Macaca mulatta: one gene and its partner. The protein of the gene in region 2 interacts with the protein of the main gene of each other region in a biochemical or structural test. Links are inferred from orthologs where the notes say so. Each region holds a gene or a part of one and is shown on either strand. Other genes may lie near its edges.

Region 1 (3,813 bases), on a different chromosome or scaffold from region 2:
TCCTCAAACACAATGTCATCATCTGTGGCATAGCTTGGTGGTGGGAAAGAGGGGTGTGAGGTGAGGGCTTCTAGCCTCCCACTCCCTGCCCTCCCCCAGGCTGGGCCTCTGCGACAGAGGCGTTCGAACAGCAGTGGGACCAGAGGTATTCACAGGAAGGGACAAAGAAAAGGCAGCAAGAGGCAGCCTCACAAGGCTAAGCATCTTGATTTGACGCCGCAATCCCCTTCTCCCCCCAGAAAGCGAGGAAGAGGTATGAGGGCAGATTTGAATGTGGCAGGAATCTTTGTCCCAAGAGGGTGACGTAGGGGAATGAGTTTCTTACTTGGTATCAAATTCAATGAGGTTGGTGTCCACGGGGACGTCTGTCTCCGGAGCGGCTGGGGGGATGGGAAGAGGGGGTGTGGGGGTGGGTGCTGGAAGGGCCAGTTTTCCTCCACTGGCCCTGCTTCAGGCCCTCCCTCTGAGGGCTTGGGGTGGGCGGTGTGCTCACCTGACTGGGGTCTGGGGAGGGGGGTGTGGTCGCGGGGCTTGGGGTGCATAAGAACAAAAGGCAGCTCCACAGACACATCCCTGGGGAAGGGGAGAGGGATCGTGAAGAGGATGACAACACAGGACCATCGAGAGCCAGTGTGACCCCCACCCAGGACCCCCCATGACACTCACCCGCCTCGAGACACCACCAGCTTCACCTTGACCCTGTAGGACACCAGGATTCCCAGCACCTCCTTGTTGGCACCCTCCTTCACGCTGCAATTGCGGTGGTGGAGTCAGACCAGGGCCCATCCCCCTGTCACCTGGCCCACCGTGGGGTTCCCATGGGGCCTCTGGGCAGGACCACAAACTCGCACAGGCCCGCGGGGCCCCAGCAGCCCGGGCGTGCGGTTACGGTACAGTGCGCGCTGCACTCCCCGTGCAGAGCCTCCTGTGGTTTCTCTCCCGTAAAAGCTGTCCTTCTCCGCTAACAGCACTGCACCGTCTGGCTCTCCATTAGCCCCTGACCTCACCTCCTCCTCCTCTCCTGCTACTTAGTTCTTGATAAGTTGCCTTCCGGGCCTGTTGTATGTGGCTGTGCAGTGAGAACCCTGAACAAAGGCACCGGGGAAGGTGAAATCCAGCCCTTTGTGAAGCTGAGGACCTCCAGGGCTGCTCCTGCCCGAGGGCACGATGGCACCTCCCCATTCCTCCAACACTCCAGGCTGCCCCACCTCTGAGTCTTTGTTTTTTCTCTGCCCAGAACTGTCCTTTCCTGCTCACCCATGTTGCTTACTTCCGCTGGGTCCTTACTCCCAATTCACCTTTGCATCTCACTGCGCCCCATCCCTCCCTTCTCTGCCTGGCTTTTTCTCCTTCATACTTGTCACTAAACCTGCCGTACAGTGACCACTGATCGGATTTGTCTAGCCTCCCTCTCCTAGAATGTAAGAGTTCTTTTTGTCTCTTCTGTTCACTGTACCTCCCTGGCACCTAGGATAGGGCCTGGCACATAGTTAGCACTCAACTGACGTCTGGCCCCTGGCCTGTGGGGGACCCGCCCCAGCCCCACCCTCACATGGTGCTGGAAGCCAGGTTGGTGTCCTCGTGTTTGAGTTTCCCATCCAGGGCGAGACCCCGCTTCTCCCGGTTGTCACTGAGCAGCGGGGTGATGGTGTACACCTTACAGAACGTGGAGCTGGGAGATACCTGGTCACTGGGGGTGGGAACAAGAGAACAAGACGCTTCAAGGGGCTGGACTGGGCGAGGGGCGGCCTATCACCCCCAAGCAGCATCTCCCCTTCACCAGTCCCTTCTCTCTTTGGGCACAGGTCACAAGGGAGTAGGTTGTGGCTCAACGTGCTCAAGAAAATTAGCAACCCAGAGGTGCCTGGTTGTAGAGGGAATACCCTTTTAAGTGAAGATGGTGGTTGGTCACAGTGGCTCACGCCTGTAATCCCAGCACTTTGAGAGGCCATGGCGGGTGGGTCACTTGAGGTCAGGGGTTCAAGACTAGCCTGGCTAACACAGTGAAACCCGTCTCTACTAAAAATACAAAAAAATTAGCCTGGCGCAGTGGCGGGCGCCTATAGTCCCAGCTACTCGGGAGGCTGAGGCAGGAGAATGGCTTGAACCCGGGAGGCGGAGCTTGCAGTGAGCTGAGATCACACCACTGCACTCCAGCCTGGGCGACAGAGCGAGACTCCGTCTCAAAAATAAATAAATAAATAAATAAAAATAAGCCAGGTATGGTGTTGCATGCCTGTAGTCCCAGCTACTTGGGAGGCTGAGGCAGGATAATCGCCTGAACCTGGGAGGTGGAGGTTGCAGTGAGCAGAGGTTGCCCCATCACACTTCAGGCTGGGCAACAAGAGCAATAATTCCATCTCAAAAAAAAAAAAAAAAAAAAAAAAATAGTGGCGATGGCTTAGGAAGAATTCTTCCCCCACCTCACACTCTCCCGATCCTGCTCTTCTCCCCCAGACTGGGAACTGGGTCTCTCCCGATACTCACTCTTGTTCGAGTTGAGCCACGGGACACTTGTACTGGGCGGTGCTGAAGAGGCAGATGTCGGCGTACTGTCTCACTGTGGGGGGGGACAGGGTCAGGCAGCTCTGGATGGAGCACAAGCCACCCCCACAACACAACTCCAGACCCCGTGGCGTGGCCCCTCCATGCTCCCCCCTGGAAGCAGTAAACACCGAGGCTCCCTGTATCATTCTGGAACAACCTAAATTCTTTGAGCCCTGGTGGGTCTCCCGCCCTGGGAAATGGCCTGGGCTGAGATCACACCAGGAGCCACCTGTGCAGTAACACCCTCCCCAAAGACCCCCTTCCAAACCCCACCTCCTACCAGAGACTTTGATCTTCTTGACGGTCTTGGTGGAGTTGTTGGTGACGTGGACATTTACATTGAGGGGCTCCCCATGGTAGTACAGCTTTTGGGGGGAGGGGGTCATATGAATTGGATCTGGTTTTTACTGGTCCCATCATCAGTGTGTCCCCAAACACAACACATTGTTCTGGCCCCCTCCCATCAAACCCAAGCATACGGCAACTCTCCACATCCAGCCAAGGCAACCTCCTTTACAAATGTCATCTTGACGTGTGGCTTCGCCCCCCCTCCCCTGGGTCTAAACTGCACCGTGGCATCCGCGTCACCCTCTCACACCCCACCTCCTTGTCCAGGGAAGCCTCGAGGTGCAGGGACCGGTCAGACATGAGGAAGTGGCGTGTGGTTTCTGCTGAAGGCTGGGGGCCGGGTTTCTCTGGGGCAAACTGCACCTTTCGGATCACCAGTCGCACAGAGTTCCTGGGATGGGGGTGGGGGCAGAAGGGGGTCAATCCTCAGACACCTAGACCCCTACTCCTCCCCCGCACGGGGCCTGGGCTCCTGGAAAGCCTCCTCTTACATCATAGAGGAGGTCGCGTCCCTCACCTTTTGTGGCTTTTCTCCTCTAGTGATTTAGCACAGAAGGCTCGAATCTCAAAGTCTACGCCGCAGGCCTCAGGAGGGGGAGAAAAGGCCACATCTTACCCAAGGCTCCCGCCACCATCACTCCCCTTCCTTCCTCCCCCTTCCCTCCTCTTGGGCAGGGATGCTTGCCCCATTGTGGTCTCACGACCCTGGCGACCAAGTCTTCCTCTCCAAAGCCCCGAACCTGGCAGAGGCTTGGTCATGGTAGTGCAAGGGGCAAGGGGAGCCCCCATCCCCAGATCCATGCAGGTCCAGAGAGCAGAAGGCAGGGTCACGCGTGCATCACCATACACACCCCACTTCCACGGAGACACTGGCCTACCCTCGGCCCCACCCTGGCATCTCGACAGTTCACCCTCTGG
Region 2 (3,813 bases):
TAGATTAAAATTACAAAAGAAAAGCAATAAACTAACCTGCTGAGAATACCCCCGAAATGTTGGATTTACAGTTTTAATTCCTTGAAACAGATTAGTAGGCACAACAGATCCTGGCCTGAGCAAGAAAACATTTTTAAAGAGTAATTTTTGTTATTTTTAATTTTTATTTTAAAAATTAACAACCAATAATTCAAAGTGTTAAATAAATTGAAAATTACATTTCGAAAAAATCATTCAAAACTGCCTAATATGTTCCACAGGCACATCAGAACACCTTATCCTTGATATTTTAAGTGATATTTTACTGCTATACTCCCTCAATTAAATGATTATGCTTCACCCCATGACTTTTCAAAAATGCAAATTTCCCAAATAGTTCTAAAACAAAATTATTAACATATTACAGTAAACTGTGATCCTAATGCTAAACTTTAGAATAAATAAACATAAGCAGGAAAATATTCATATAGTATTTAGGGTCTGATTTTATCATTGTGAGAATGCCTACTCCTGAATATAAAACTCTAAAGTTCCAGTAACAGCAGCTGTACAGCAGCTTTAACATTCCAACACTATATCACCAGTCCAAATACTTCCAGACTTTCATGACACCTTCATCTGCTTCTAAAACTTCTCTGACACCTTACATTCAGCTTCAAATGTAACATGCCTGAAACAAAGCTGTCTCAAATCTGTCTGTCTTCTCCTTTTTTCTGGCTCCATAAATGGACCTGCATCCTTTAAATATTTATAATATTCATTTAAAAGTTTAATAAAGAAAAGTATATTAAGTTACATACCTGCTTTTATGCCACAGCTCTGTCATTAGTTTGAGATAACTTTTACAAATGGCAGGTTTCTTATCTGTTCGTGCTAATCCTCCACAATCAAGAAAAAACTGTGTCAAAGGTGGGCTAATTTTAAAAAGAGAAAAATGTTAGAGTGGAGTCAAAGCTAATACTGATTATTTCTGGTCATTCAATTAACTGACAACACGTACATCCCTATAGCTGTCATTTCTTTCTTTGATCCCTTTTACAGCTTCACTTTCATTCCTTCATAAAGAGCTCAGTCCTTTCAAATCAGATTTGGCCCCACCATATCAAGAGTCCTCCATGCTGCCAGATACACTTTTCAGTCCCCACTCAGTAACATTTGCCACAGACGACCATGCCCTCATTCTTTTTTTTTTTTTTTTTTTTTTTTTTTGAGACGGAGTCTCGCTCTGTCGCCCAGGCTGGAGTGCAGTGGCCGGATCTCAGCTCACTGCAAGCTCCGCCTCCCGGGTTCACGCCATTCTCCTGCCTCAGCCTCCCGAGTAGCTGGGACTACAGGCGCCCGCCACCTCGCCCGGCTAGTTTTTTGTATTTTTAGTAGAGACGGGGTTTCACCATGTTAGCCAGGATGGTCTCGATCTCCTGACCTTGTGATCCGCCCGTCTCGGCCTCCCAAAGTGCTGGGATTACAGGCTTGAGCCACCGCGCCCGGCCATGCCCTCATTCTTGAACAAATCTTCTCTGGACTATTGTATGCATTTTCCAACTTTCCCTCTTTACCTCTTAAAATTACTTTTTCCTCTTTATTGCTCTTTTTGGCCCCAGACATGTAAATGTAAGGATTCCTCAGGACTTGATCCTATGACTTTTCCCTACATACTTTTCTTCCCTGGGCGATCTAAAATTTTCAACCATATTCTAATCATCATCAAATTTATATAAAGTCAACCATGTCATCTAAATTTCAGATTTATATCAAATGCCCAAACTGAACAGGATAAAAATTTAACTTTCAACTGAACCTGCACTTCCTCCAGCCTTCTACATTCCATTATTTGGTACTAATATTTGTTGGTGGCTCAAGTTAGCAATTTATAAGGAAGTATAGTCTGTCATGAGTTTGATTAGCTTGAGGGAATCTCCATTAATCTATTTATAGAAAACTGACTGGGCAAAGGACCAAATTCTGACCTACATAAACCAAACCCCCTATGAAGGCAGTTAGATAACTACTAAGCCATCTCTTTGCCAAGTGTAATCCTTTTTTTTTTTTTTTTTCGGTAGAGACAGGGTCTCGTTAGGTTGCCCAAGCTGGTTCCAGAACTCCTGGGCTCAAGCAATCCTCCCACCTTAGCCTCCCAAAGTGCTACAGGCATGAGCCACCACACCCAGCCACCAATAGTGTAATCATATCAGCCACATCTTTTTCAATGAAATCAGAGGAATTACAAAGTAAATCCATGGAAGCAGTATTGTGCAATAATCAACAAAAGATCTACAAAAACAAACATACACATAAAAATCTCAGATTCAGAATTTTGTCCCTGCCAGGCATGGTGGGTCATGCCTGTAATTCCAATACTTTGGGAGGCCAAGGCAGGACATGACTCAAGGACAGGAGTTCAAGACCAGCCTGGGCAACACAGCAAAAATCCATCTCTACAAAACTTTTAAAACATTATCTGGGAGCAGTGGCATGCACTTGTGGTCCTAGCTACTTGGCAGGCTGAGGCAGGAAGAGCCCTTGAACCCAGGAGTTCAAGGCTGCAGTGAGCCATGATCGTTCCACTGCATTCCAGCCTGGGTGACAGAGTAAGATCCTGTCTCTAACTTTAAAAAAAAAAAAAAAAAAAAAAAAAAAAGGCCGGGCGCTGTGGCTCATGCCTGTAATCCTAGCACTTTGGGAGGCCGAGGCGGGCGAATCATGAGGTCAGGAGATCGAGACCAACCCGGCTAACATGGTGAAACCCCATCTCTACTAAAAATACAAAACTTAGCTGGGTGTGGTGGCCGGCGCCTGTAGTCCCAGCTACTCAGGAAGCTGAGCTGAGATCACATCACTGCACTCCAGCCTGGCGACAGAGCGACACTCCGTCTCAAAAAAAAAAAAAAAAAACCAGAATTCCGCCAGTACTTACTAGCTGGTTACAATGGCAAAGTTATTTAAACTTCTGTGTCTGGTTTTCTTATCTGTATAAAAATAACAATAGCAACAACCTACAGGTCTCTTAGGATTGTGTTGTTAAACTTGAACCTCCTCTCCCTTTCTCTACCCACATCCTATCAATCAATCATCCTCCTAAAAATGTTTATCTCCAATTCCTTCACTCTTTTCCTACCACCCTAGATGATGTAAACTACCACTACTTCTTGCCTAAATCATTATCATAGTCTTCTAGCTGGTCTTTCAAATTCCACTCTCTTCCCCCTCCAATTCACTGTCCACGTGGCAACCACAGTAATATTTTTAAAATATAGATTATTAGCTACCCTACTATACAAACACTTCAATGGTATTGTACTACTATGAGAATAAAGACCTACATCTTTAATGTGGCCTACATAACCTAGACCCTTGTCGTTCAGCCCTATGATTACTGTACCCTGTCACACAGATTTTCTTCCAGTTCCTCAAATGTGTCAAGCTCTTTCCCATCCCAAGGCTGCTTACAAGGAGCATTTTGCTAGGAATGCTCTCCCCATCCTTTCAAACAACCAGCTCATACTTATTCCTCAAGTTTCAGAGTAAATGTCTCTTCTTTTTTTTTTTTTGAGACGGAGTCTCACACTGTCACCTGGGCTGGAGTGCAATGGTGTGACTTTGGCTCACTGCAACCTCCACCTCCAGGGTTTACATGATTCTCCTGCCTCAACCTCCCAAGTAGCTGGGATTACAGGTGCACACCACCACACCTGGCTACATTTTTGTATTTTTAGTAGTGACAGGGTTTCACTATGTTGGCCAGATTGGTCTCAAACTCCTGACCTCGTGATCCACCCGCCTCAGTCTCCCAAAGTGCTGGGATTACAGGTGTGA

The links.
Region 1: of the proteins of USP33 (region 2) and ARRB2, one has a biochemical effect on the other in vitro, tested with the Homo sapiens proteins (2 studies listed by BioGRID, with this or other methods). The link is inferred for Macaca mulatta from reciprocal best matches to the Homo sapiens genes USP33 and ARRB2.

The regions. Positions count from the first base shown.
Region 1 is NC_133421.1:6,246,771-6,250,583, reverse strand, and holds part of ARRB2 (beta-arrestin-2), read right to left. Parts: intron 3,481-3,813; coding exon 3,413-3,480; intron 3,287-3,412; coding exon 3,151-3,286; intron 2,913-3,150; coding exon 2,828-2,912; intron 2,561-2,827; coding exon 2,488-2,560; intron 1,691-2,487; coding exon 1,553-1,690; intron 751-1,552; coding exon 667-750; intron 574-666; coding exon 494-573; intron 417-493; coding exon of another isoform or gene 381-416; coding exon 326-380; intron 34-325; coding exon 1-33. UniProt on the Homo sapiens protein: Functions in regulating agonist-mediated G-protein coupled receptor (GPCR) signaling by mediating both receptor desensitization and resensitization processes.
Region 2 is NC_133406.1:162,808,333-162,812,145, reverse strand, and holds part of USP33 (ubiquitin carboxyl-terminal hydrolase 33), read right to left. Parts: intron 915-3,813; coding exon 801-914; intron 116-800; coding exon 37-115; intron 1-36. UniProt on the Homo sapiens protein: Deubiquitinating enzyme involved in various processes such as centrosome duplication, cellular migration and beta-2 adrenergic receptor/ADRB2 recycling.